Oryctolagus cuniculus: one gene and its partners. The protein of the gene in region 1 binds, or shares a complex with, the protein of each later gene. Links are inferred from orthologs where the notes say so. Each region holds a gene or a part of one and is shown on either strand. Other genes may lie near its edges.

Region 1 (7,385 bases):
AACTCTGGGACTATACTAAAAACCACTGAATCAGACACTCCTTTGTTTTTAATCATACATTTTGAATTGGTGAATTGTACAATATGCGAATTGTGTCTCAATAAAGCTGTTAGTTTTATAAAAATCAACAAACATATTTTAACCAAAATGTTAATTTCCAGAAATGTTATATTCCAGGAATCCAACTATTGCTCTTTAAATGTTTATACTGCTGGAAAATTTTATAAAATGGAAGCCCTGCCAAATTGCTATGGCACAACCATTCCCACTTTAGCAAAAAGATAGAAAGAAAGAAAGAATTGAACAGTGTCTTGCCCCTCATCCCTTCTAACAGGAGCTGATCTGTATCACACATCAAAATCTGCCTGCAAGCACTGAATGGCATTTTTTAAAGGGCACTTTTTTTTCAGATTTAACCACAATGTTGAATACTGTAATTATGGCATGTTACCAATACATCTTTCCTTGTAATTTACCCCAGAACTTCCTTGTCTATTATCTTCTGCAAAAGAAAGATCCTTGTGTTTATCCACTGATACTACTTCTAATCATTTCACTCTTCCCCTAATTACTATACCAGTTTTCATCTCTAGAGTCAGTCTAACGTTCCCCACATCCCAACCTGTTCTCTATCTACTAACAAATACACCAGCTGTCTATCTGTTGTTATGGCAACAGTGGGTTATTTACGCTCTTGGAAACTCAAAATGAGGAAGGATATAAGAAGCATGCTGTATTAGGACTGGGGTTGTGGCACAGCAGGTTAAGCCACCATCTGCGATGCTGGCATCCCAAATGAGCACTGATTCCAGTCCCAGTTGCTCCACTTCAAATCCAGCTCCCTGCTAACACATCAGAGAAAGCAGTGAAGACAGCCCAAGTCCTTGGGCCCCTTGCCACCCACACAGGAGACCCATATGGAGTTCCTGGCTCCCAGCTTCAGCCTGCCCAGTCCATTGCAGTCATCTGGGGAGTGAACCAGCTGATGGAAAATTTCTCTCATATCTCTATCTCTCTGTAACTCTGCCTTTCGAAGAAGTAAATAAAGGAAGTAGAAAGAGAAGAAGAAGAAAAGGTACATTTGTACCCCTTGAGGGAAAAGACTGAGTCTTATTCATTGTTGGAACCTCCCAACAGTAAGCAGAGGACCGGATGCACCATAAATCTCTCTGCCTGTCACTAATCTAAGGCCCATTCACAAAAAGAAGTAGCCAAGAGAAAACTAAATGATCAGAATACTATTGGGCATATGTGTATTGTGTATAAGGCAGCTTTAGCCCAAACTTCAGATCTAATGTCTATGCCAGCCTGTCTTTATGACAAAAAGTGAATTTTATTTTTTAAAAGATTATTTACTTGAAAGTCAGAGTTAGACAGAGGTCTTCCATCTACTGGTTCATAGGACTGAGCCAAGCTGAAGCCACAGCAAGGAACTTTATCTGGGTCTCCCATGTTCATGGTCCAAGCACCTGGGCCATTTTCCATTATTTTTCCCAGGCCATTAGCAGGGAGCTGGATCGGAAGTGGAGCAGCCAGGACATAAACCTGTACCCACATGGGATGCTGGCGATGTATGAGGCAGCTTTACCCACTATGCCACACGCTGGCTAATAAAAGGTGAATTTTAAAACAGATGTAACAAGGGCTAGCACTGTGGCATAGTGGGTAAAGCAGCCACCTGCAGTGCCAGCATCCCATATAGGGGCTGGCTTGTGTCCCAGATGCTCCACTTCCAATCCAGCTCTCTGCTGTGGCCTGGGAAAGCAGTAGAAGATGGCCCAAGTCCTTGTGCCCCTGCACCCGTGTGAGAGACCCGAAGAAGGCTCCGGGCCTCTGGCTTCGGATTGGCGCAGCTCCGGCCATTGTGGCCAATTGGGGAGTGAACCAGTGGATGGAAGACTTCTCTCTCTGCCCCTCCTTCTCTGTGTGACTCTGACCTTCAAGTAAATAAATACACCTTTAAAAAAATCAATAAAAAATAACAAAACAAATGTAACAAAGGTATGATTGAAGAACAAAACCTTACAATTAAAAAAAATCACAATATCTTTAAAAAATCAGATCTAAACCCCCAAAAATTCATTATCCAATCAGTTTCTAGTTAAGCAGCTCATTGTTAGGTAATTTGAAGATGGCCTGTTTGCAGTGGGCATTTGGTCTAGTGGTTAAGACACCAGTATCCATGTTGGAATGCCTGGGTTCAATTTTTTTAAAAAAAGATTTATTTATTTATTTGACAGGCTGAGGTGCAGACAGAGAGAGGGAGAGAGACAGAGACAGGTCTTCTATCCACTGGTTCAATCCCCAGATGGCCACAATGGCTGGAGCGGGGCAGATCCAAAGCCAGGAGCCAGGAGCTTCCTTTGGGTCTCTCACGTGGGTGCAGGGGCCCAAACATTTGGGCCATCTTCCACTGCTTTCCCAGGCCATTAGCAGAGACCTGGATCAGAAGAGGAGCAGCCAGGACACGAACCGGCACCCACACTGGATGTGGACAACGCAGGCAGAAGCTTAACCTGCAACACCACAGCACCAGCTCCCTAGGTTCAATTTTTAAGTCCAGTTCCTGATTTCACCTTCTTGCCAATGTAGTCCCTCGGAGGCAGTAGTTCAAGTAGTTGGTCCCTGCCACCCATGGGTAAGACCTGGACTGATTTCTTATCTCTTACCTCTCAAATGAGTGCCAGTTCAAGTTCTGGCTGCCCCACTTCCAGCTCCGTGCTATTGCGACTGAGAAAGCAACAGAGGATGGCCCTAGGACTTGGACCCCTGTTATCCACGTGGGAGACTTGTTTAAAGTTTCAGGCTCCTGGCTTTGGCCTGGGCGGGCCCTGAACCTTGTAGCCATGTGGGGAGTGTATCAGTGGATGGAAGATCTCTCCCTCTCTCTCCCCCCCCCCCACTTTCTCTCTCTGTGACTCTGCCTTTCAAATATATAAATAAATCTTAAAAGAGAAAGTCCCAGAGAATGTCTCATAGCAGCTCATTTCAGTTGAAGAAATCAATCATATACTTCATATCTGCAGAGAAATCCTTAAGTTACAAAAAAGCTTTCACAACCTCTAAGTTTGATCCTCACAAACTCATGGAAGGGTTGCAGAGCAGGTACAATGAACTCCTTCCACAGAAGAGGAACAGAACCAGAGGGTCAAGTGACTTGCCGAGAGTCACACTGTAAGCGAAAAGATCTGGACCAGAATCCAGGTGTCCTGATGTCCAGACCTCTTCCCTTTATAAAGCGTTAGAACTTGTAGCCCCTGGGCCCGGCACCATGGCACAGTGGGTTAATCCTCCGTCTGCAGTGCAGGTATCTCATATGGTCACGGTCGCCAGTTCTAGTCCCAGCTGCTCCACTTCTAATCCAGCTCTCTGCTATGGCCTGGGAAAAGCAGTGGAGAATGGCCAATTCCTTGGGGCCCTGAGCCCATGTGGGAGACCAGGATGAAGAGCATGCATCCTGGTTTCAGATCAGTGCAACACTGGCCTTTGCGGCCATTTGGGGAGTGAACCAACAAGAGGAAGACCTCTCTCTCCCTCTCACTGTCTGTAACTCTGCCTTTCAAATAAAATAAAAAAAAAAAAAAAAAGAACTTGGATTCCGGGCTTCCTTGAGTCACAACTGAAGCAATGACTCCTAGATCCTTGCATCGCATTTGGAAGCAACAATTCCTAGATCCTAATGGAGACTCTGTTGCAAATACAAACTCAAAAAGTTGGGGCAATTCTGTTAACGCGAATTAGGTAATCAATCACTGTCAAAACACCTACTTACACATGAGTTACAGCATAAAATGCCAGAATTACAAACATCCACCAAGGGCACTACACACTGCCCAAAACAAATTTTCAGGACAGTTCTCCGAAAGATGCCAATTCGAGATGATCAGACTCAGAGAACAGTGGTGTCAGTGTTAAGAAAGAAAAGGCTGCCACTTCCCTTAATCAAAACCCAGAAGGAAAAAGCTGGCCCCACAGGAGGTGAAGACATGGAGCCTAACGAGGCTCTAGGGATTCCAAGCAAGCTGCAAACTCGACAATGACCGTGGACCAAGACAGCTCTCGCATCAGCTCCCACTTAGCCGGCAGCATCCTACCCAAGGGCTCATCGCACCAGGGCAGCCATCTGAAACCGGGCCGCTAAAGGTGAAACCCGACGAGCCGCCCAACGCGGGGCTGCGAAGCACCTCCGCAGACCCACACAGAGACGTTCTTTTAAGCTAGCGTCCCCAAGAAGGGGACCATCGCATCAACCCCAGCAACCATCTTCCGCAAGCCGAGCGGGGAGGGAGAGGCAACCCGGGCCTCGGCCCGCCCTGCGAAACCCACCTGGGCCCCGTTTCCACCCAGAAACCCGCGCTCCCCAGCCCGAGCAGCCTGGCAGGGGGCCAGGCGACCCCCGCGACAGGCCTCCCTCACGTCAACGCCGGAAAGAGGAAGGTGCCGCTGCGGCCCACGGGCGGGCAGCGCCAGGGGTTTGGAAACGCTCGCCAGCGGGCGATGCTGGCCGCGCCGGCCGGGCCCTGGCGCCCCCGCCTCCGCCCCGCCTGACAGCCCGAGGCCCGGGCCTGGTGGCCCCTCCCCAGGGCGCGGACCCGCGGGGCGCGTTACCTTTGTGTAGAGCTCGGACGCGGCCATGGCGGGGCCCTGCGCGCCGACGTCCCCCGCCTGTGCCGAGGCCGCACCTCGCCTGGGCTGCCGGCCGCGCCGACTAGGAAGCGCCGGGGCAGCGGCCGGCAGGGAGCGGAGCGGGGCAGGGCCGGGCGGGGCGGGCCACGCCGAGCGGGGCGGGGCGGGGCGCGGCGCCTCAGGCACTGGCGGCCCGCGGGGGCCTCGCCATCACTCCCGGGCTCGCCGCGAGCTGCTGCGAGCGCTCCGCGTGCCCGGGGTCCTCGGGGTCGCCGCCGCCGCCGCAGCCACCTCGGCGGCCCGCGATGCTGCCGCCGCCGCCGCCGCCCTGTGCATTGTGGGAGCGGGAGGAGGCTGCGCTCGAGCGCTGCCACCGCGGCTGCTCCGGGCTCTCTCGGGCTCACGCTGCCTCCCATCGGTTGCGGGCACCCAGCATCCTCAGCCTGCCAGCCAGTGAAACCCCAAACCTTCCCCGGGACCCCGGTACGTCCGCAGCGAACCCTGAACGATGCAGAAGAGCCCAGTCCCGCAGGGAGGGGCGGCAGCAGCAGGGGCTTGCCGCTGTGTCCAGGTAAATGGCCGGCAGCCTCCAGGCTGTTTCTCCTGTGCCTGCTGGCATTCAGGGAAAGTCTTCTCGAAAGGTTAGAATAACCTAAAACTCCAGAAGAGCCTTGGTAACCGCAGTAACCCGGGGATTTGAGGTGAAGGATCTGCAAGGTCACTCGGAACACCTGGTGTCCACAGAGGGTAGGGGCCGTTCTGACCTCCAGAAAATGAAGAGAGCCTTATAAAGGGGGCGCCCCATGAGACAGCCTGGGCGCCTCTTATCTAGTTCTGTGCATTTGCCTGGCGCAACAACCCCTCAAAACCCCCAGCCCCATCTCCTGTCCTTGCAGATTTGGGGATTGTCGGTTTCATGGCACCCCTTGAAGCTTGCAAAGGGCAGCGGACTTCGTGTAAAGTGTCTCTGCAGTTTAACTCTGTATTAAAAGGTCATAGCCTTCAGCCTAACCGTTGTCCTGGCACATGAAGCACAGGCATGTGATACTTCCAACCCCCTCTCCATGCTGTCTTCACCCCTACACCCTTGCTCCTCATTAAATAATCTTCCGCGTTCAGTCCCAGCCTGAGTGTTCATCTCTCATGTCTATGAGCTGTTAAGTGGTGCCCAGTGCCCGTTGTGTGAATTCGGTGCCACTTCGATCATGACCAGCTCTCAGGACAGGGCCTGTGTGTTTAAAGGAAAACCATTCCCTGAAGGTGACAGGGGCCAGTGCTCATTCCCTGCAACTCAGCTCTCCTCCTGCTCACTGCAGACAAGCCAGAGGGAATGGCTACAGAGTCCAAAGTCCCACTGAGTTGTCTCTGATCCTTCCAGCTCTAAAACCCATGCATATAGAGAGAAAACATGCAGTTAAGACCAGCAGAACAGAAAGAAGCACTGTTATGTGGCCACTACCCTGCCTCATTTCTCACCCTTCAGATAACGCCTCCCTCTGGACTGCTGAGAAATGCTGAAGATGCTGAGGAAAGAAAACTTGAAAAACTGAACCTCGTGGGTTTGAATGTTTCTTACTGCTGGAACTTTTTTTTTATCACTAAAAGAGAAAGTAGTTATTCCCTTATAATTGCTGAATATGAGCATTTCATCACTCAACTATTTGGGACAATAGTTAAGAGGGACACAGTGGTTATGAGAAGGGTTTGCTATCCTTGACCTTACCTTTGTTCATTCACGAAGAGACTCAAAAAAGTGAGAAGCCCAGATGCTCCACCATGCACACAGCTACTCAGCTCAAGCACTTGTCATTAGGTACAGAAACCAAGGGTGCAGGAGCAAAAGCACTTAGGCCATCTTCTACCACCTTCCCAGGCCATAAACAGAGAGCTGGATCAGAAGAGGAGCAGCTGGGTCTCAAACCAGTGCCCAAATGGGATGCTGGTGCCAAGGCAGACACTTAACCTACTACACCACAGCGTCAGCCCTATGGGTTTTTCTTTCCTAAAATTTGCATTTATTTGAGAGCACCCATCCAGTAATTCACACCCCAAATGCCTGAAACAGGGCTGGGGGCTGAATCTGAAAACCCGGACAACCCAAATGAGTGGCAGAGAGCCAACTACTTGAGGCATCACTGTCTACCTCCCAGAGTGCACATTAGCAGGAAGCTGCAATCAGGATGCGAATGAACTCAGGCACTTCAACATGAGATGTGGCCATCAACTGGCATTTTTTAATATTTTTGCTTCAGTTTATTTTAGGGGTCACTGTTGTCACACAGTGGGTCGTCATGGCCTGCAAAGCTGACATCCCCTATGAGTGCTGATTTATTCCAGCTCTTCCACTTCCAATCCAGCTCCCCACTAATGTGCCTGGGAAAGCAGCAGATGGCTCAAGTGCTTGGGCCTCTGCCATCCATGCAGGAGACCCAGATGAAGCTCCTGGCTTTCACCTCATATAGCCCTAGCCATTGCAGACATCTGGGGAGTGAGTCAATGGATGAAAGATCTGTCTCTCCCTCTAACTCTGGCTTTCAAATAAATAAATCTTTTTAGATAAACCTGCTGCACTACAACACCAGCCCCTCAACTGGAATCTTTAACCACTGCACCCAATGTCTACTCCTAGGTTGTTTTCAAATGAAAACAGTGTCCAAATTTACATGAGAAATCCCTTTCCTCCAAAGTACCATATTCTTGGATATTATTTTTCAACTAATATTGAGAGCTATCATGTGTCACATACTGTTGTTTGATGC
Region 2 (6,806 bases), on another chromosome or scaffold:
GGGACTGGGCAGAGAACTGAACCCTAGCAGGGGTGAGGGTGGGTGGTGAATGTGCAGCCCGGGTTGGAGGACCAGGGAGGGCCCTGACAGCTTCATGGGCACTGCCTTGCTTAGTTCACACCTTACAGAAGGGGAAGCTGAGCGCTGACCACTGAGCAGTAAGAGGCTTCCACCCGAAGACCCACCTAGGCTGTTAGCAGGAGGAGGAGGAGGAGGCCTCAGACGCTGAACAAATGCGTCTTCCTCCACTTAAAAACTGGTTTTATTTTCCTCCTAAGTATCAAAATTTGTCACATCATTGTGAAAAAAAAAATGTGAAATGGCAAATGGGATGAAAGGCAAGACGCAGACATAGGACGCAAGCCTCCACGTGGAACCTCCCACGGCTGGCCCCAGGTCCTGATTTGCAGCCGGACCAGGACAAGAGGGATCTCAGCCCCCCACCGTCCCCGGCTCACCACGGGCCCCCCAGCGTGGGCCCCCGACGGGGCGCAGCCTGTGTTCCTGCTTGATCTCCTCCAGGATCTTCTCGTGCAGGGTCCTCTGCTTCTGCGGAAGCGGGCGAAGCCTTCTCTCCGACACCTGTGTGGCCAGGGGGCTGCTGGGAGGCCAGGCATGCCAAGCAGGCCCACAGGAGGGAGTGGGACCCCCAGTGGGCTCTGTGTGCACCTGGGGTGGGGGGTGGGGTGTCCTCGCGGTGCTTCCCAGAAGGGCGAGGGCCCAGGGCTACACTGTGTGGGCCAGGGCCAGGGCCCAGTCCAGTCAGCAGGCAAGAGAGGACCAAGCTGCCTGGACCCAGCTGCGTCCAGAAAGCTCCTGGGTGGACTCCAGGAGAGCCCTCACCTGCTTCAGTGGAGGCCGGGAGCGGATGAAGTCCAGGATGAGCTCGTGGGCATCCTTCTTCACCCTGGGAGGGATGTCCCCGTCAACCTGCAGGGAGACAGGAAGGTGGCTCCCGCTGCAGGGGCTGTGTGCTGGTGCCCAGGTGCCCTGACCACAGCCTGGTCCTCACCCCAAATCCCCTCCCGGGCTCTGATCCCCGTGACCCCTCCGCCTTCTGCACAGGTGCACTGTGCAGCCACACTCCAGCCACACGGTGACGCGGCTGCAGCATCCCGGGTCTGGTGGTGCCCCTGCCGGCACTGGGCTTCTGGGACGGCCACACTCCAGCCACACGGTGACGCGGCTGCAGCATCCCGGGTCTGGTGATGCCCCTGCCGGCACTGGGCTTCCGGGACGGCCACACTCCAGCCACACGGTGACGCGGCTGCAGCATCCCGGGTCTGGTGATGCCCCTGCCGGCACTGGGCTTCCGGGACGGCCACACTCCAGCCACACGGTGACGCGGCTGCAGCATCCCGGGTCTGGTGGTGCCCCTGCCGGCACTGGGCTTCCGGGACGGCCACACTCCAGCCACACGGTGACGCGGCTGCAGCATCCCGGGTCTGATGCCCCTGCCGGCACTGGGCTTCCGGGACGGCCACACTCCAGCCACACGGTGACGCGGCTGCAGCATCCCGGGTCTGATGCCCCTGCCGGCACTGGGCTTCCGGGACCTCAGATTCCTCTGGAAAAGGGTCTGTCGTAGATGCCATGAACTTGGCGTGCACGATTCTAAGTGGCACGAGCGCTCAGGAGGTGGCACAGTGTGTCCCAGAGGAGAGACCCTGGGGCCCTGGCTCCTGTGCGGCCTCCTCTGGGGCCGTTCCTGATTCTCCAGGATCTTCTCCCTCCCCTTGCCTGCCATCCATACACTGACCCTGAGCCGTGGGAACCGAGGGCTGCGTCTGCCTCCTTCACACCCTGGCCCAGGCTGGGCTCAGCACCCAGCACCAGGAGCGGGGCGTCTTGGAGCTGCTGTGGGACCGAGAGGGGGCGGAGCGCTGCTGAGCTCACCATGACCTTTCGCAGCTTGTAGTTCCTGGCACGGATGTCCTGCATCAGCATCTCGAAGGGCGTCAGCTGGAACTCGGTGGGGAGGGGGTTGAACTCCTGCTCCTCCACCTTCTTGAGCTTCACCCCGTGGCGCAGCTCCCGCATGAGCTGCACCCACAGCCGAGCCTGGGCCCAGGGGGACGGAGAGGGCCCTCAGGCACAGGCACAGACCCCCGGGGCACCCCACGTCAGGAGGGAACCCGCTTACCCAGTCTGTGCGCCCCAGGTCGTCGAGTTCCACCAGCGGCTTTTCCACCTGCGGCTCGTCCTCCCCGAGCTTCTGCAGCATCTAGGACACACCCCTGGTCAGTCCTGAACGTGGAGCAGCAGACCGCACGCTGTGCCCAGGAACACTTGATCACGCTTAGGCTACCAGGCAGCCAGCTAAAAAGGGGGCCAGCGGGCACATGGGCTCGGCCTGGGTGTTCAGGCAGACATTTGAGGAACTCAAGAGACCAGGCTGGAGCCATCAGTGCACACTATGTCCACACCTGCCCAGGACACTGTCAGAGGGTAGCGGTGGACAGGAGCCTGACACCCACAGGGCACCCATGTGGCGCCGTCTCCCAACTGACGCAGCAGGCGCAGGTGTGTGTCTCACTCACAGCGCTGTCTCAGGAGCACCTAGGCAGGCCAAGTGTCCACCTATGATCCCAGCTTCAGTCTTACACTTTGCTGCTTCTTTTTTTTAAAAAAAAAAAATTTACTTGTTTATTTGAAAGAGCAGGAGAGAGAGAGAGAGAGAGAGAGAGAGAGAGAGAGAGAGAGAGACATCTTCCACCTGCTGTTTCACTCTCCCCAAATGCCTCCAACAGCCAGGGCCGGGCAGGCCAAAGCCAGAAACGCCTTCTGGGAGTTTCGGATACCTAAGTATCTGAGCCATCCCTGCCGCCTCCCAGGGTGCGCGTGGGCAGGCAGCTGGACGGGAAGCTTGACCACAGAGACCCTGATGTGGGGTGTGGGCGCCCCGGGTGGCAGTTTAACCCCATCCCTAGCTGCTGCTTGGAGTCACAGCTAGGACCCAGTGAGCACAGTGTAGCTCACGCTTGGTCCCCAAGACTGGGTGAATGAACCAGTGGGTGGGGGTCTGAGTGAGCACATCCTGTAGACACGGGTGTGAGCCGCGCGAGCTGAGAAAAATGCTGACGTCAGGGTGAGAACTCGGGGACGATGACAGGGACAGCCATTCTCTCCTGAGGCCTGGGCAGGATGCTGGCGCTCAGGAGAGCCAGGGCCCGTCTCTCACTAACTCCTCCATGCTCGTTGGCACACGGCAGTACCACCACCCCAGGCAGAACCGGCTATCCTGCTGTCCTGGCTTTTCACCTCGAGCTGCTACTTGCCAAAGCACTGCCAACTCTGAGGGCACAGGCGTGATTCTGCTAGTAGTCCAGTGTGTGCCCTGGCCAGTCTGTGGGCAGGGCTAGCTGTCCCTCCTGAGCGGGCTAGCCCGTCCAGCTGCGCCCAGCTGCAGACCTTTTTCTCCATCCCTACTACAAATTCCCGGAGCGTCTCCTGGGCCGACGGACGGCCCCTGCGGAAGGGTGGGCTTCCACTGTCCAGACAGCAAGCCTCAGAGCAAAAGGCAGACTGAGTTCAGAGGAAGACAAGAGCACCACCAGCGCCTGCGAATCCTGGGGAGGGAAGGAAACTGCTCATCTTGGCACGTGACTGGGTTACAGGTGCGTGCCAGCCACGCCCACCCCGAGAGACCCCCCCCCCCAGGGTCACTCCTGGTGAGGGAAGGCGGCACAGTCCCACCGATCAGGAGCCAGCCTCACCTTCGAGACCTTCAGCACCTGAGCGAGACAGGGAAGTACACCTTGCCCCCGACCCCCACGCCATGCTTCATGCCCTCATCTGGGAGGTGCACACCCACCTTGGAGCAGCACCGACTCCCCCGGGAGAGGCTGAGACCTCTGACCCCTGACTCCAGGTCCCTGAAGAGGCAGGCAGTTCGCTGGCCCACATCAGCTAGGGCTTCAGGCAGGGGACCCAACCCAGCAGAGCCTGCACTCGCTCCTTGGTAAGACCATCTCAGAGGGGTGGTGTGAGCACAGGGGCCACAAATGCGAGCACGGTTCTCTCACTGGCTGCACACCAGCCCCGAGTCTGTCCTGAGCAGTCAGACAGCTGCCTTCAGCACAGTACTTCCAGAAAGAGCTGGGACCAGGAGGCAGCAGGCAGCCCCCTCTGCAGACGAGAGAAAGCAGCGGGCAACGTGACCACTTAGGGGCTGGGGGTCAATCACTACTGCCTGGGTTCAGTTTCCTTCAGTGAAAAGGTGGGAGAGTTAGATCACAGCCTACCGAGAGCCTGGGCCCTGAAACTGTGCCCAGGACACAGCAGAGGGCTGCCTGCCCCTACACCTCCTTGTTCATGCCCTGGCCCTTCCCACCTCCTGTGACCCCCACACCCCTCTCACCTCCTTGGCCTCCCGGACTCGGGCCAGGAAGGCACGCAGCTCCAGGGTCTCCACGAAGAGGGCTCGGCACACGGCCTGGTAGTGGGCTTGGGCGCCCCGAGGGTCGGTCAGCCGGGCAGCGCACAGCCGCATGGCCTGGGCGAAGGTGCGCACGACCCGGGGGCCGCCCTCGGACTCCTCCTCCTCCTCGGGACCTCCGTAGCCCTCGTCGGCAGCCCCGCAGCTGGCGTCCTCGCAGTCGCTGTTGGCCATGAGGTCGATGAGCCGCTCCAGCTGCGGGCTGAGCTCCCGCTCTTCAGTGTCGTCCAGCCCCCAGTCCAGCGCGCGGTAGATGGCGAAGCCCAGCGACTGCACCATCTGCGGGACGAAGGCGGGATGCACGGGGAAGTCACCAGGGGGCGCTGGGGCGGCGGCAGCCAGAGCCAGTGCCAGGTGGGGAAGGCCGCAAGGGGCTGGAAACATGGAGCCCCGCTAGGAGGCATCCCCAACCCCCAACAGCAAGGTCCCTCTGGGAGGTAATGGCTGATTATTGCCATGTAAAAATGCATGCAGGGCATGGCTCAGCACCTCCCCTCCCGGCTGCTGGACTGAGTGAGGCGAGAAAATGCATCCACACTTGTCCCCGACGCACCGCAACCCCGGCCTGGGAACCACCAAAGTACTCAAGTGGTGGACGTGACCCTGCCACCTGCTCCCAGGAGAACACTGCAGAGCAGGAGGGAAAAGCGTGGACCCCAGGCGTGAGTCGCCAGCCTGCTGGAGCACCGCGGTTGTCTAGGGGAGACCCTACACTCAGCAGCAGGGGTCGGTGCTGCCGGGCTGGGGGCGGGGCAGGGCTCGCTCCAAGGGGATGGCTGAGAGGGCCATGTCTCGGTCGTGCGCTGGGGACGCAGCACTCCATTGGGCCACCCACCTAAATCGTACGTGTTTCACTGTGTGTGACAGCTTTCCTAGGAAGAACCCATCTCCACGTCAGACCTCGTCCTAGCTGCTAGACCACCCGGAAGGTAACACCCGTCATTGTCGTGACCTAACAGCATCATTTACACCAGAGGAGGAAAGTGGCCAGTTTAATCGCTGCTGCTGTGGGACCCACTTGACGTCCGTGATAGAATTTGGCACTTCTGTTTCACAGGGAAGGGGACAGAGGCACGCAGAGGGTGGACCACCCGCTCCGGGGCATGACGAGCCACACCCTCATCTAGATCCACCTTACCCAGGTGGCGGGGGGTGGGGTGGGGTGGGGGTGTCCTTTGACCTCTCATTTCCTGTGCACCTGTAACTGTAGGAGGCTACATCTTCCTGTCCCCCTTCACATTCTGATGAGCAAAAGTTATCTGCTGATTCAGATGACTAATGTGAATTCAGCACACAAATGATATGTAGGAATTCCAGAGACTACAGGAAAACTGCTAGAATCACAAGATCTCAGAAAAGGAAGAAGTTTGCGGCCACCTGGCCAGGAACAAGGACCACGCACTGCGAGCTGTCAGCCTTAGATCAAAGCTAAGCCCCTGAGGTCCCCAGCCCTCTCAGCTTCTTTTAAAACTGCTCTTGCTAACTAGCAAGGCAGAAAAGCTCTTCTGAGACAAGCTGTCCGCTCTGCCAGCCTGCTGAACAAACCTCTTTCTTCCCACCCGTTCTTGTCTTGGGGAACCCAGGCAATGGAAGCCCCCGCCCCACCACTGGTTTTCCAGTCACACAGGAACCAGAGCCCAAGCCTGGCATGGCCAGGGTGGGGTCCAGAAGAACGTGGGGCCCAGAACACGGCATCCTGTGTCCTGTAGAAAACTCCTGACCCCCAGCTCACCTTAGCCCTGCTCTGGCACACCCCAGAGGCGGGGTCACAGGGCAGGCAGTGGAAGCCTAAGGGCTGGCCACATTTGAGGGGATGCCAGGGTGGGGGCCTCTGGGCAGAGGCCTCCAACCCCTTCCAGGTGCGACAATGGGGTGGGGATGCAGGACCAGCAAGAACCACAGTTCACCTCATTTCCCATCAATTCCTTCGGACCCAGAGGCAGAGGCCAAGATGGAGGTCGAATTCCACACCATCCTGCCTCTGCCTCCCAGCTCCCTGCTGACCCGTCGTGTCTGGTTCTGTGTCCAGCCCCAGCCATGCCACCTCATGGAGGAAAGCCCCCACGCCCTCCTGCACAGAGCAGCTCCCAGCCCATCTGTGGCCCCTCCCTCTTCCTCCTAGTCCCTGGTCCCTGCTCACTGGCTGAGCTAGCGCCACGAAGGGTTAACTCCAGCCCAAGATTTTTATCTGAGAGCTGCTGTTAAAAGCTTTTCTGTGCACCTGGTCACTGGAAACTTTCTCTGGAAGGCAAAGAATGCTTGCTTCCCCACGAGGAAAATCTAGATGGCCGGCTAGTCTCAAGACCTCTGCCCCAGGCAGGCGCTAGACCTGGCCGGCTAGTCTCAAGACCTCTGCCCCAGGCAGGCG
Region 3 (6,806 bases), on another chromosome or scaffold:
CCCACGTGGGATGTGGGAAGAAGCTGGATCAGCACCCACGTGGGATGTGGGAAGAAGCCAGATCAGCACCCACGTGGGATGTGGGAAGAAGCTGGATCAGCACCCACGTGGGATGCGGGAAGAAGCCAGATCAGCGCCCACGTGGGATGCAGGAAGCCGGATCAGCGCCCACGTGGGATGTGGGAAGCCGGACCAGCACCCACGTGGGATGTGGGAAGCCGGATCAGCACCCACGTGGGATGTGGGAAGCCAGATCAGCGCCCACGTCGGATGCGGGAAGCCGGATCAGCGCCCACGTGGGATGTGGGAAGCCGGATCAGTGCCCACGTGGGATGTGGGAAGCCGGATCAGCACCCACGTGGGATGTGGGAAGAAGCCGGATCAGCACCCACGTGGGATGCGGGAAGAAGCCGGATCAGCACTCACGTGGGATGCGGAAGTCCTCACCGCTGTCTGAACTGCTGAGCCCAACGCCCACCCTGGGGCAGCCTCTGAGCCCTGCACCCTCCCAGCCCAGTGGAGGGATGTCCACTGCTCCGGGTCCGGGGAGAGGTCCTCATTGGCCAGAGAGCCTGTCCTTCTTCCTGGAGCCCCACCCACTTCAGGGAGAGCAAGGCCAGGTCCTGACCGCCCTGATTTTGCTGTCGTCCTCAGTGGAGTCTCCCGGAGCCTTTAAGAAATGCTTTGCTTTCTATGAAGGCGACGCGAGCACGTTTTGCTGTAATTCCCAGGTTTCCTTCCGTATTCCTGAAGACCTGACGCCAGTCGTGAACCCCACTGGTTATGGACTTTTAGAGGGGAGCAAGCATTACCGTGAAGATGGCGCTGGCCGCTCCCCTCCTCCTGCTGGGGTTCCTCTGGGTCAGGGAGCCACGGTACGGGGACTTCCGGTCAAGAGAGACCTCATCTTTGCCTGGGAGAGGCAGGGAGAGGAGGGGCGTCAATCAGAAGCCTCCCCCAGGCAGGGGTGTGGCTGAAAGTAGCATTAAAGGGGACCTGGCCCCAGCCGAGGGGACCAGAGGACTACACGTGCAGATGGACATGTGCTTGCCGGCAGCTGGGTGCACGCTCAGCTCAGTCCCACCCTCCCCCGGCTCCCAGCAACCTCAGCAGCTTGTCCCCTCGGCCGCAGGGCTCCCGACGTGGGCAGAACCCAGAGGTCTGGCGTGCACATGGCCTCCCCTTTCCTTTCACTCTGTGACATGGGCTTGGGACTGACTCTCAGGACAGGTGCCTGTCAGCCTCCGTGGGTGGAGCTGGGGCTGGGCCTCAGGTCTGCATAGACACCAGCCGTTCTCATCTTGCCACAGGTGCCACAGGTGCCACAGGTGCCACAGGTCATGGCTCCCTGGAGCTGACCGTGCACCCCTGTCCTTGACTTGGGTCCAGGGATGCCAGCTGCTGGCCCAAAACCAGGCAGGTGTCAGAAGTGAGCATTCACAGGGCGGGAGCTACCGGACGCCAAGAGCCAAGTCTCTCCCGTCCCCTTCTGCTGTGAGCAGCCCTCTCCATTCTCGGCAGGTGCATCTTACCTAGGTGTCACCCATGTGTCCCTGCCCCTGAACAGCCTCAGGGAAGGGCCTGCCTGGGCCAGGGGACCCTCTGCCAGTGTGGGGCTGGCTCTGGTCGACTGGGGGACAAGCACTGAGGCCTCACCCACCAGGCTGGTGATGGAACGGGAGGGGCCATCCGACCCACTGCCCCTGAACACTGGCCTGAACGTGGGCGGCCTCTCGGCTGGACCAAACGCCCTTCACAAACCTGCCAGCACGAGGCCCACGTTCATGAACCCCCACAGCTCTCGGCCGTGGGGTGTGCTGTAATCGCCCTCGAGGTCAGCACGGGCACCCCAGGAGCCCCCGCTGGGAGCCAGCCCCCACGTGGGCCGTCTCTCTCTCCTGTGGTCCTGAGTCAGGGCCAGCTCTGTCCTGGATCGACCCAAATGTGTGCCGGGAGTTCAGCCAGCGACAGAGAGGCGGCTGGCACAGAGGAGGGGCGGGCAAGGGGACTGCCAAGATGTACTTAGTGCCGTGGGAGCTGGGGAGAAGCCCGGGTGGGCATGGACAGCTGTGCTCTGGAACCCACGTCTGCCGGAGCGTGGGTGTTGTCCCACAAGGCGCACCCAGCGTGTGCACAAGCGGTGCGGGTCCGCCAGCTGTGGCGAGATCCCACTTTCCTTTGCAGGCAGCTGGAAGCCAAGGGGGATGAGGGGCGGCTGCCTGTGAGGCCCACGGCTGTGGTGGAGTCTGACTGGGCTCAGGGGTGGTGCTGAGATCTGGGGGAAGGGGGGCGCCGAGGCGGCACAGCAGTGGAGGGCGGGGGCTGTGGTTGGGTTGCACACAAACGCCCCATGCCGGGCTCATGCCGGGGAGCCTGTGGGCCTCACATCCCACTTGTCCGGGACAAAGCTGCTGTCCCTGTCACCACCAAGACTTCATTCAAGGCTAAAGGACGAGCTGTACCCTCTAAGGACAGGGGCCTGTGCTGCCGCGGGACAACTTAGACTGGAAACCGCAGAGGACACTGTGGCTGCCATCACTGCCACCATCACCACGGCCACCATCACCACGGCCACCACCACGGCCACCATCACCACGGCCACCATCACCACAGCCACCATTACCGTGGCCACCATCACCACGGCCACCATCACCACAGCCACCACCACGGCCACCATCACCACGGCCACCATCACCACCACTGCAGCCGCCATCATTGCCACTGCCGCTACCACTGCCACTAGTAGCGCCCTTTGTGTGTTTATGGCAAAGGCCCATTAATGAGCTGCTCACGCTCACTGCTCTCGGGCCTGGGAGGGTTCTTGGGGGCTGGTGTCACCGTGTCCTTCAGGTGGCAGGGAAAGCCAGCCTTACCGAGTCCCCACCCCCAGGCCTGCATGGGGCCAGGGCGGCAGCTGGGCTCACCTTGACCTCTGGGGGAGTACTTTCTCCGCAGAAGGTAGGGCACGGTCTCGTCCTGGAAGGCAGAACCTGGGGTCACGGCTCAGTCGTGGCACTCATCAGCCCCCCCCCCACTCCGCTCCCCGGCTATTCCACCGCCCACCGTCCTTGCAGACCCAGAGACCCAGGGCAGCGGTGCCCTGTTCTCCGTCAGCAGCTGAATCAAGTCAGACCTCGGAATGTGAGACGCCCAGCATGGGGGAGTGGGGAGCGGGCGCAGGCTCGCCCACGATGGCGGGTGTGCAGGCATGAATGCCCCAGCTTCCTGGGCCCGAGCAGGAAGACCTGGAGACGTGAGCCCTGCTGGCCCCAGAGCTGCCTGGGGAGCGCATCCCAGTCTGCCTGATGTCAGAGGCTCACTCTCCCCACCCCCAACCCCTCCTGGGCTTTCCCAACACGCGCCCGGACACAGCCCTCGTCCCAGCATGTACATTCCAGCCCCGCCCCTCCCCGGCCTCGCCAGTCTGCAAAGCTCGGGCCCATCTTCCTCTCTTGGTCTGGACCACACCTTGGCTTCACCAGGAGGCTCTGTATCCGGGTCCTCTGGACGCTTGCTGGGGGTCCCGAGAAGCCGGGGCACAAAGATCTGGAGGACAAGGGAGAAGGTTCGTGTCGCGGCAGCCTTGTTCACCAGCCAGCTGCCGGCAGAGTCAGGGCACTGGACGTGGGACACACAGCCCTGCACCTCTTAGACGCCTGCTGGAGAGGGGGCTGGCGCGGCTGCCCCTGCTCTCTGCGCCCACACCCTGCCGGGGCTGCCAGAGCTCCAGTAACTCTGGGTCTCAGGTGCACGGTGATGGTTCGTGCGTGTGTCCCAGCCGCCGCACAGGCTGCACTGGGGCTAGAAGGCACTGCTGATGCTCTGAAAGCCAGGTTGGCCGGGCTTCCTGCATCTGCCGCCAGCCCTCTCCAGGCCCCCTCGGGAGGACCTGTGACTGCCCTGCCACGTTCCCCGCCGTGAGAGCTCTGATGGCTCCTCGCAAGGGTGGGAGAAGGGTGCTGGCCTCAGAGCACTGGGGCGGGGCCCTGGGAGGCCTCCTGTGCACGTGCTGTGGTCACGCCCCTCCCCAGGGCTGAGCTGGGAGCCCTCTGACAAGAGGCTGTCATTCAGGCTGCTGCTTTGGGTTTTTAAACCCTGTGAGTGTGTTGAGTGTGTGTGTGTGTCTGTGAGTGTGTACATGTGTGTGCACATAAGCATGTGTATGTTTGTTCATGCATTCGTGTGTCTCTGCATGTACATGTGTTTTGTGTGAATGCATTGTGTGCCGCTGTGTGTACAAACATGCATACACGCACATGTGTGTATTGCTTGCATGTGTATTCATATGTGCACACACATGCATGTATGTGTGCACATGTGTTCATGTGTACGTGTGTTTTGTGTGTGTAGGTATGTGTATGTGTGTATGGGTGTTTGTGTATGTATGAGTGAAGGTGTTTGTGTATGGCTGTTTGTATGTGTAGGTGTTTGTGTGTGTATATAGCTGTGTATGTGTGTAGCTGTATGTGTGTGTAGCTGTTTGTATGTGTGTGTAGGTGTATGTGTGTATAGCTGTTTGTGTGTATGAGTAGCTGTTTGTGTGTGTGTATAGCTGTTTGTGTGTATGTGTATCTGTGTAGGTGTGTGTGTGTATAGCTGTGTGTATATGTACCTGTGTGTATGAGTAGCTGTGTGTGTGTGTGTGTGTGTGTGTGTTTGTGTGCGTGGGCAGGGGCTGAGGGCACCTTCTTGGTGAGAAACACAGGCGGGAGAGATCCCAGCGGGGCAGAGCTCAGGAACAGCCCAGCGGGACCAGGCAGGCAGCTGGGGGCGCGAGGCCCCGGCACCCGCCCCACTCACCGGGAGGTTCGATTTCCTCCGGGGCTTTCCCGAGGGCTTCACCGTGAGCCCCGCAGCCCTCAAGGCAGCAATCCTGGACTCGATAGCGGACACCTGGGACGGACGGAAGGATGGACGGACAGACAGAGAGATGGCTGGAGTCAGCTGCCACCCAGACGTCCCACCCGGAGCCCGTGTACTCCACTCATGAGTCTCCCCGGGGGCATGCGCCCACTGCCCTGGCTCCCACGGCCGTCAGCAAGGGGGTGGGTATTCCTGCTGCCCCCACCCACCCCAGGCAGGAGCGGAGGAGTCCTGTGCACTTCTGGAGGCAGATCAGGGCTGGGGGAGGGGCAGCAGCAGCTCAGGGCTTCCCTGACCCAGCACCGCCCCCAATGCCATTGGCAACAACCTTGCCCTGTCTGTCCCCTCACCCTTAGGCCACGCTTTTCATGGTGGCCAGAGGAAGCTTCTGGAAGCAGAAGGCAAGCCTGTCTCTCCCCGTTCAGGTCTTCCTGTGGCCCCACAAATGTTCCTCGGGGGTCTCTGCCATCGGCCCCCTCCAGGACCGGCCTCCCACACTCTCCCCTCATCCCTGTGTTCCAGCCTTGGGTTGCTGCTGCTGATTCCCGGACACCCCAGGGCCTTGGCACACGCCACCCCTGGCCTCTTCTCATAGCTGCCTCTCATCACGTTCCCTCGGCAGCCCCGCCCCCATCTGCCCGCAGCATCATCTTCCCACGGATGCTGGCCATCCACCCTCTCCCACCGAACCCTCAGCTCCACGGCGGCAGGAGCGGGTCTGAGCTGCTCAGGTCTGCCCTCTGGCCCCCGATGCTGGATGCACCCCAGGGATTCACAGAGGATCTGCAAGCCAGGGAAGAGTAACGGAAAGCGAGGAGCTGAGCCGGAGTCGCCCCCGGGATGTGGGCAGCTCTGGGACTCGTGTTCCGAGTCGCCCCCGTGATGTGGGCAGCTCTGGGACCGTGTTCCGAGTCGCCCCCGTGATGTGGGCAGCTCTGGGACCGTGCTCTTCCTCCCTGGGAACTCAGGCTGCTGAGAACGGCCCGAGGCCGGGCAGGGGTCCTGCTGTCCCAGAAGTCACGGGGCGACCCTGGGAAACCAATGCTTTGGCTCTGACCTTTGACCTGTGCACTGCGGGCGCCCCTCACCCAAACTCAGACCCTGCGTCCACAGCGCAGGCCCATGGGGAGGCCCTGGCCAGAGCCTCCGGCTATCCAGGGTCTAAGCCCACTTCTGGCCTCTCTTTACGGGCTGCAAGCAGCCGTTTCAATCCTGAGAACTCTGCCTGCCTCCCACTCAGTGCAGCAGCGTGGAGACGCAGGGGCCTGGGAGGAGGCAGCCATCCTGGACCCCAGACGCTCTGTGCGAGCCCCACAGGCCGACTGTCACAGCCGGTGCACCCCGCACACCCGGTGGCTGGCACCCGTCTTGGTGACACCCGGGACTGGGCTACCTCGCTCTCTGCCTGCTGAACCTCGGAGGCCGCGGCCGCCACCCTGTCCTCCAGCGCCGACAGCTGCTCGTCTGTGCTCCTGCTGGGCTGGGCGGGGCCCCCGGCGCCCTGAGGGCTCTGTCCCCGGCCGGGCGTTGGGCCGGCGTCTGTGCACACCTGGGAAAGAGAGGGACAGCGGCTGACCCCCGGCGTGAGGGGCTGAGCCCCGGACTCGCCTCTGCTCCTCCCCCGGATGCCCCTCGCTGCCCCTCCAGGGCTGGGCTCCCCGTGAGGCCCCTGTCAAAGCCCCAGTGACCCCCGCAGTGGCTGCCTGCTTAGTGGCAGTACCTGTGCTGGGTCCTGCCGGGACCGCGGGGGGAGAGCCCCGGCGTGGTCCCCGCCGGCCGGCTCTCCCTCTTCCTCCTCCTGGTCGCTGACGTTGCTGGTCAGCTCCTCCAGCCTTCTCCTGAGGGCCTCCTCCTCCGTGTCTGCCGCTGAGTGCGGCCCGGCAGCTGGGGGCTGAGAGAGCGGGAGAACGGTTGTCCACGGAGCTCCGAGGCCGGCTCCGGAG
Region 4 (6,806 bases), about 14 Mb from region 1:
GCTGATCTGGTAACTGATGGGTGGGCAGCTTATGTGGCATGGATACAACTGACAAAGGGAAGATTTGTCCCAGCCTGGATGGAGTGGGACTGCATGAGATCTTATTATGCTACTCAGGTGCCACTTGAGAAATATGTATTGTTAGGGTGGGCATGCAGTACAGGCAGTTAAATTGCCACTTGGGATGCTGCATCCATGTTGGAGTGCCTGGTTCAAGTCCTGGCTCTTCTCCTTCCAGTCCAGCTTCCTGCTAACGCGCACCCTTGGAGGCAGCAGATGGTGCCTCAAGTGCTTGAGTCTGACACGCATGTGGGAGACCTGGACTGAGTTCTGGGCTTTTCAGTGTGGCCCAGCCCTGACTGTTTGGGCATTTGGGAAGTGAACCAGCAGATGGAAGGTCTCCCTGTCTCTCCCTCTCTTTCAAATAAAATGAAAAAGTGAAAGTACACATTGTTTATTTTTAGAATTTCCCATCTAATGTTTTTAGACTGTGGTTTGACTGTGGGTAATTGAAACTGGAAAGTGAAACCACAGATAGGATTCTTAGATGTTTATTTCTAAGTGTGTGTGTGTGTGTGTGTGTGTGTGTTTCTTAAAGAGACTTGTTTGAAAGAGAAGAAACAGATATAATCCTAGCTTATTCCCCAAATAACCAAACACTGGATTCTGGGCCAGGGCAAAGCAAGGAGCCAGGAATTCCATCTGGATCTCCCATGAGTGTCAGGGACCCAAGCATTAGCAGGGAGCTGAGTTGAAGCGGAACATCCAGGACTTCAACCAGCACCCTGATGTGGATTGCCAGCCTTGCAAGCATTGGCTTAATCTACTGCACCATAATGTTGGCCCCTGTAAGTGTGTTTTTAAAAATATGTGACCCATGTTTTGAATTCTTCTGGTGTTTGCTTCTATTTTGTTGTTCTTTTCTGGTAAATGTTTGTATGGGAAGGCAACCACAAGTTGGAAACAAGATATGTTTCTAGGGGTAGGCATTGTGGTACAGTGGGTTAAGCCGCCTCTTGGGACAGCTGTGTCCCGTATTGAGAGTGCTGAGGGGCTGGCACCGTGGCACAGTGGGTTAAGCTGCCACCTGCAGTGCTGGCGTCCATATGGGTTCCAGTCCTGGCTGCTTTGCTTCCGATCCAGCTCCTTGGCTGATGCACCTGGGAAAGCAGCAGAAAGTGGCCCAAGTGCTTAGCCCCTTGCATCCACATGGGAGACTAGGAGGAAGCTCCTGGCTTTGGCCTCGCCCAACCCTGGCTGTTGTGGTTCTTTGAGGGAGTGAACCAGTAGATGGGAGATTTCTCTTTCAAATAAATAAATATTACGAGTGCCACTTCAGGTCCTGGCTACTCTGCTTCCAATCCAGCTTCCTGCTGATGCATTGTGGAAGGCAGCAGACGATGGCTCAGGTGTTAGCCTCTGCCACTCATACAGGAGTTTTGGATGCAGTTCTGGTATCCTGGCTGTTGCAGGCGTTTGGGGAGTTGACTAGCAGATGGAAGATTGATCTTTTTCTTGCTGTCTCTGCCTTTCAAGTGGATGAAAATAAATAAGCAAAACAAAATGAGAGTGGGTGTTTGGTGCAGTGACTGGGACCCCTGCATTCCATATTGGGGTACCTGGGTTTGCGTCCCGACCCTGCTTTGGATTCCGTGAAGCATCAGGTGGTGATTCATGTCTTTGAGTCCCTGCCACTCATGTGGGAGACCTGAATTAAATTCCCAGCTGCCAGGTATTTGGGGAGTGAACCAGCAGTTGAGCAATGTCTACCCCTTTCTCTCTGTCTCTCTGCCTCTCAATTACTGTGAGTAAATAAAAAATTAAAAATGTGTGTGTTTCTGTTTCCAGATACTATCGTGGAGCTGTAGGTGCCTTATTGGTTTATGACATTGCTAAACATCTCACATATGAAAATGTAGAGCGGTGGCTGAAAGAACTGAGAGATCATGCGGATAGTAACATTGTTATCATGCTCGTGGGTAACAAGAGTGATTTACGTCATCTCAGGGCAGTTCCTACCGATGAAGCAAGAGCTTTTGCAGGTTAGTGATTTGAATCCCATGCTATTACAGTGATTCTGTAGTTTTTACTATTATGTCTTGCAGTTTCTTCACTCTTTCACTGAGGGTAGTTGTAATAGTTTCAGAAAAGTAAACATGATTACTCAACAAAGATGATTGTTTTGAAAGTTTGTGATTACTGTATGGCTCTTTAGCTGAACTTCAAGTTACTGAAACACCAAGACTTTGAGTTTTTGTGGGGAAAAAAAAAAAAAAACACAGAAAATAAATGTTGTCCTCTTTTCTGTCCCTTGAAGTGGTAGGTGAAATCTGTTAATGAAGCATGTTCTACCTCCTTTTCCATCAAGCCTGTATTTTACCAATGCAGCTCTAGATGGGTCTAGCCATTGTTAGGGACCAACAGGGAGACAGCTGCTTAGGAGCTGTCTTTGGTCCCATAGAGGATCTGCCTTTCTCTTGGTCCTGCCCCAGTTTTGTTAAGGGCAGCTTATCAGAAAGCAACATCATGCATTCTTAGCTAGTGAAAGTCATGACCTTGCACTAGTGATTATGCTGTGAATAGTTTTCCATAACAGTTTTTAGTTTCCCAGACAAGAAGAAACTTTATTTCAATAATAACAGAATTCTAAAATTCTAAGTGAATACCATAGGGATGCAGAGGACTGTAAGGAATGAGCACAGTTGAGTGTTTGGTAAGTTTACTACATTTTGAGTGATCTCATTCATTGCTATTGGTAATGTTTAGAGTAATAAATATTTAATCAAGAAGCCAATGAAAACTTCAGTCTGGTAGAGTATAAACAGAATGGTGCCCTTTCGGTCCCAGAAGTTGGCACAGTCTTAGATTTTAAAAAGTCATGTTATTTTCTTTTTTGAGAGCTTAATTATATGACATTCTTTCTTTTACTTGTAAAACTTGACAAAACTGAGTTTTTGTGTCTCCCCACAGAAAAGAATGGTTTGTCATTTATTGAGACATCTGCTTTAGATTCTACAAATGTAGAAGCTGCTTTTCAAACAATTCTAACAGGTAAGATTTGCATTTTCAGATTATACCAGTTGGAATTGGAAGTTTCAGGAAGGTCATAAAAGCAGATTGTTCAGGAAGCTATGTATCGCACCATTGGAGAATGACTGTCATTTGAGAACTACTATAGCAAGAGCTGTTTGCAGTACAAAATTAGTTACAGATCTTGTTCATTGAGCTCCAGTCATCCCAATTCATCTTTATATGGGAAAAATGTTTTGAGGCTTATTTGTTCACTTTTGTTATCACAGTCACAGCTGAAGTTATGTTTAAATCTACCTTGATGTGGAAAGATATAAATGTGTTTTAGAAATTCAGTAAAGAATAGAAAAGGCTAGGAAAAAATAAATTTTTAAACAGTTAAGTGAAAAGAAAACTCTGCTGTGATGTGGAAGATGCAGGTTGTCACTTGCAGATAAAATCAGCCAGTGATTGAATATACAAAAGTTCAATTGAAGATTTACTTTATTTGAAAGGCAGTGAGAGAGAAAGAGAGAGAGATACAGACAAGAATTTTCTTCTGTCTGCTGTTCACACCTCAGATGACCCCAGTAGCCAGCCTGCTAAAGTCAGGAGCCTGGAAGTCCATCCAGGTCTCCCACATGGGTGGTAGGGATCCAAGTACTTGAGCCATCATCTGCTGCCTTCCCAGATGTGATAGCAGGAAGTTGGACTGGAAGTAGAGTAGCCAGAACTGAAACCAGTACTGATATGGGATGTGGGCATTGCAAAGGTGGCTTAACCCGCAGTGGCACAATGCCCACTCCATAAACTGTATAGTACGTTTAAGAACTCGTGAGTTAGAATATAGTTTTATTTATTTATTTATTTGAGAGGCAGAGTTAGAGACGGAGGGAAAGGTTCTCTGCACTGGGTCGCTCTCCAAATGGCTGGAGCTGGGCCAGGTCTTCTCCAGGTCTCCTGCACCGATGCAGGGGCTCAGGGACTTGGGCCATCTTCCACTGCCTTCCCAGGCCACAGGCAGAGAGCCGGATTGGAAGAGGAGCAGCCGGGAAATGAACTGACGCCCACATGGGATGCCAGCGCCACAGGTGGAGGCCTACCTCAGCACACCACAGTGCTGGCCTAGTGTATAGTCTTTTTCTTTTTTTTCTTCCAAAGATTTATTTCATTTATTTGAAAGACAGAATTACAGAGAGAGGTAGAGACAGAGAGAGAGGTCTTCCATCCGCTGGTTCACTCCCCAGATGGCCACAATGGCCGGAACTGCGCTGATCCAAAGCCAGGGGCCAGGAGCTTCTTCCGGGTCTCCTACATGGGTGCAGGGGCCCAAGGACTTGGGCCCTCTTCTACTGCTCCCCCAGGTCATAGCAGAGAGCTGGATCGGAAATGGAGTAGCTGGGTCTCGAACCGGTGCCCACATGGGATGCTGGTGCTTCAGGCCAGGACTTTAACCCGCTGCGACACAGCGCTGACCCCAGAATATTGTCTTAATATATAGGACAGTCTTATGTGGTGGTGGTCTTAAAAAGTTTATATGGAGAAATGTTTATTAATGAGTTTCCAGTTCCCAAGTTTTAATTTAATGTTTGTATATAGTACTTGTATTAGAGTTAAGCAGATTTCAGCTTTAAAATACTATTTTACTGTTAAAAAAAAAGTTGGGAATAAAGCCTAGGAATTAAGAACATGGACTTGGAGGCCTGACTTGGGTGCTAGTCCTGACTCCTTCACTTACTGTTAGCTCTAAATCTTAGGCAAGTTCCTTAACCTTAAAGATCTTCTTCATCTGTAAAATTTTGGGGAAGTTCTTTTATTTCTGTTTTGAGAGAGAGTTTGTGTTTATAAAACCTTGTGGTATGATTTCATTTGACTGTTGTGTTGCAACCTATCAGGTGTTTTGTTTCTGAAATTCATAGAAAAGAATGGTGTGTCACTCAGACAACTCTGGGTACCAAAAATGAGCACAAGCTATTGCCTGTAAAATACTTAGCTATCCCGCTACACAGTGAACATTTGATACATTAGTTACTAAATAGCAGTTATGGCATGAGGGACAAAAACTGGTTAAAATACACTTTGGTGACTTATGTATCTGTTATCAGAAGAATAGTAACTTAGAAGAGCTAGTGCTGGGGTTGGGTAACACAGTAGCTTTCATTGAGTCTTCCCTGTGTCAAGCGCATTGCTGGTTCAGACAGCCAAGGTCTGGTTTTCTTAGAACGCCGTGTGTGGACTTTGTTTAGTTAGTGTGCAGAGTACTAGATTGAGATTCAGGGGTTCTAGGGTTTTATATTTCACGACTTTGCTCTCACTCCCTGTGAATCTAAGGCACTGAACCTCTCTGATCTCCGAGTGTTTTAAATCAACTCAACGTCTGTGAGTCTCTTAAAGCCTCTGAATACCCCATCAGTCTTCAGTATTAGGGATCTTTAATGTCCCATCCACTCTCTTCTATAGTTCTAGTGCATTTATTCTGATTCTGAATGAAGATGAGACCAAGTCTTTCCTTCCATCTGCAGTTACTTGTATGTCTCATTTTTCTTTTAACAGTGAACTTCTGTTTCACTCTTCTCTTCTTCCTCCTAAATGCCAGTGGGAATATTAATACATAGGAAAAACAGAAAAGAGAACAGTTACCTCATTAAGGCTGATTCTACATTAAATTTAACAGTATTAAAGGAATATTTACATTGTATGTTGCTGGAAGAAAAAAAGCTTTTATTTTTTAAAAATATATATTTATTTGAAAGGTGGAATGACAGAAAGGGAGAAACATGAAAAGGTATCTTCTATTCTCCAATTCATTCCTGAAATGGCTGCAGTGGCCAGGGCTGGGCCAGCTAAAAGCTGGGAGGCTGGATCTTCATCTGGGTTTCCTATGTGGGTGGCAGGAACCCAAGTACTTGGGCCATCTTTTGCTGCCTTCCCAGGAGCATTAGGAATCCCTAAGTACTTTTCAATTTGTATTTCCTAAAAACAAGGGCATTTCTTTTTCATAACCATAGAATAAAGATCAAAATTAGTTAGCTATATACCTCATTCAGATTTTGTCGATTATTCCCGTGTCCTTATTAGCAAAGCATTTCATTCAGCTGTCATTTCTTTACACTCCCATCTGAAATGGTTTCTTTGCCTTTTGTTTATAGGCATTGCTTTTTGTTTTTTAAGATTTATGTATTAGAAAGTCAGAGTTACACAGAAGAAGAAGGAGAGGAGGAGAGAGAGGTCTTCCATCTGCTTGTTCACTCCTCAATTGGCTGCAACAGCCGGAGCTGATCTGATCTGAAGCCAGGAGCCTGGAGCTTCTTCTGATCTCCCATGCAGGTGCAGGGACCCAAGCACTTGGGCCATTTTCTACTGCTTTCCCAGGACATAGCAGAGAGCTGGATCGGAAGTGGAGCAGCTGGGACTTGAACCAGTGCCCATATGGGATGCTGGTACTGCAGGCGGCAGCTTTACTTGCTGTGCCACAGCACCGGCCCCTAGGCATTGAGATTTTTGAGGCGTACAGGCCAGTTGTTTTGTAATGTCCTTCAGTTTGGATTTCTCTGATGTTTCTGATGGTTAAATTTAGCTTATTCACTTTTGGTAGGGTCACTACAGATGTGCTGTGAATGCCACCCCCCCCCCCCTTAAAGAATTATTTATTTGAAAGGAAGAGAGTCAGGGAGAGAGAAAGAGATATCTTTCATCTGCTGTTTCACTCCCCACATGGCCATGATGGCTGGGACTAGGTGCTATTTTAAGAATTATTTTTATTTATTTGAAAGACTAGAGGTAGAGGCAGATACAGA

Evidence for each region.
Region 2: the proteins of MYO5A (region 1) and SPIRE2 are in contact, whole or in part, in a crystal structure (PDB 5JCY), measured with the Homo sapiens proteins. The link is inferred for Oryctolagus cuniculus from reciprocal best matches to the Homo sapiens genes MYO5A and SPIRE2. Residues at the interface, in NP_001369276.1 of Homo sapiens: Asp1551, Val1554, Arg1555, Thr1559, Ile1562, Asn1563, Lys1566, Ser1597, Gly1598, Leu1615, Thr1616, Asn1617, Phe1618, Asp1619, Leu1620, Ala1621, Glu1622, Tyr1623, Val1626, Asp1629, Leu1630, Gln1633; in NP_115827.1 of Homo sapiens: Arg404, Pro405, Arg406, Val407, Leu408, Leu409, Lys410, Ala411, Pro412, Thr413, Leu414, Met417, Glu418, Met420.
Region 3: the proteins of MYO5A (region 1) and MLPH are in contact, whole or in part, in a crystal structure (PDB 4KP3), measured with the Mus musculus proteins. The link is inferred for Oryctolagus cuniculus from reciprocal best matches to the Homo sapiens genes MYO5A and MLPH. Residues at the interface, in NP_034994.2 of Mus musculus: Asp1524, Val1527, Arg1528, Leu1531, Thr1532, Ile1535, Asn1536, Lys1539, Ser1570, Gly1571, Leu1588, Thr1589, Asn1590, Phe1591, Asp1592, Leu1593, Ala1594, Glu1595, Tyr1596, Val1599; in NP_443748.2 of Mus musculus: Lys184, Lys186, Arg187, Leu188, Leu189, Ser190, Phe191, Arg192, Asp195, Phe196, Glu197.
Region 4: the proteins of MYO5A (region 1) and RAB11A are in contact, whole or in part, in a crystal structure (PDB 5JCZ), measured with the Homo sapiens proteins. The link is inferred for Oryctolagus cuniculus from reciprocal best matches to the Homo sapiens genes MYO5A and RAB11A. Residues at the interface, in NP_001369276.1 of Homo sapiens: Ile1660, Gln1661, Trp1738, Met1742, Arg1745, Tyr1746, Ser1749, Gln1750, Glu1753, Arg1756, Gln1777, Gln1780, Val1781, Lys1782, Lys1784, Met1795, Glu1818; in NP_004654.1 of Homo sapiens: Arg33, Glu35, Ile44, Gly45, Val46, Glu47, Phe48, Ala49, Thr50, Gln63, Trp65, Gln70, Tyr73, Ala75, Ile76, Ala79, Arg82.

The regions. Positions count from the first base shown.
Region 1 is NC_091443.1:75,198,427-75,205,811, forward strand, and holds the start of MYO5A (unconventional myosin-Va), read right to left. Parts: upstream 4,831-7,385; 5' UTR 4,636-4,830; coding exon 4,609-4,635; intron 1-4,608. UniProt on the Homo sapiens protein: Processive actin-based motor that can move in large steps approximating the 36-nm pseudo-repeat of the actin filament. Can hydrolyze ATP in the presence of actin, which is essential for its function as a motor protein. Involved in melanosome transport.
Region 2 is NC_091449.1:69,411,005-69,417,810, reverse strand, and holds part of SPIRE2 (protein spire homolog 2), read right to left. Parts: intron 4,718-6,806; coding exon 4,361-4,717; intron 2,225-4,360; coding exon 2,144-2,224; intron 2,062-2,143; coding exon 1,897-2,061; intron 931-1,896; coding exon 844-930; intron 583-843; coding exon 459-582; intron 1-458. UniProt on the Homo sapiens protein: Acts as an actin nucleation factor, remains associated with the slow-growing pointed end of the new filament.
Region 3 is NC_091434.1:2,704,371-2,711,176, forward strand, and holds part of MLPH (melanophilin), read right to left. Parts: intron 6,755-6,806; coding exon 6,584-6,754; intron 6,413-6,583; coding exon 6,257-6,412; intron 4,894-6,256; coding exon 4,801-4,893; intron 3,547-4,800; coding exon 3,469-3,546; intron 2,977-3,468; coding exon 2,925-2,976; intron 914-2,924; coding exon 813-913; intron 1-812. UniProt on the Homo sapiens protein: Rab effector protein involved in melanosome transport. Serves as link between melanosome-bound RAB27A and the motor protein MYO5A.
Region 4 is NC_091443.1:88,895,826-88,902,631, forward strand, and holds part of RAB11A (ras-related protein Rab-11A), read left to right. Parts: intron 1-1,848; coding exon 1,849-2,042; intron 2,043-2,970; coding exon 2,971-3,051; intron 3,052-4,236; exon of another isoform or gene 4,237-5,574; coding exon of another isoform or gene 5,575-5,594; intron 5,595-6,806. UniProt on the Homo sapiens protein: The small GTPases Rab are key regulators of intracellular membrane trafficking, from the formation of transport vesicles to their fusion with membranes.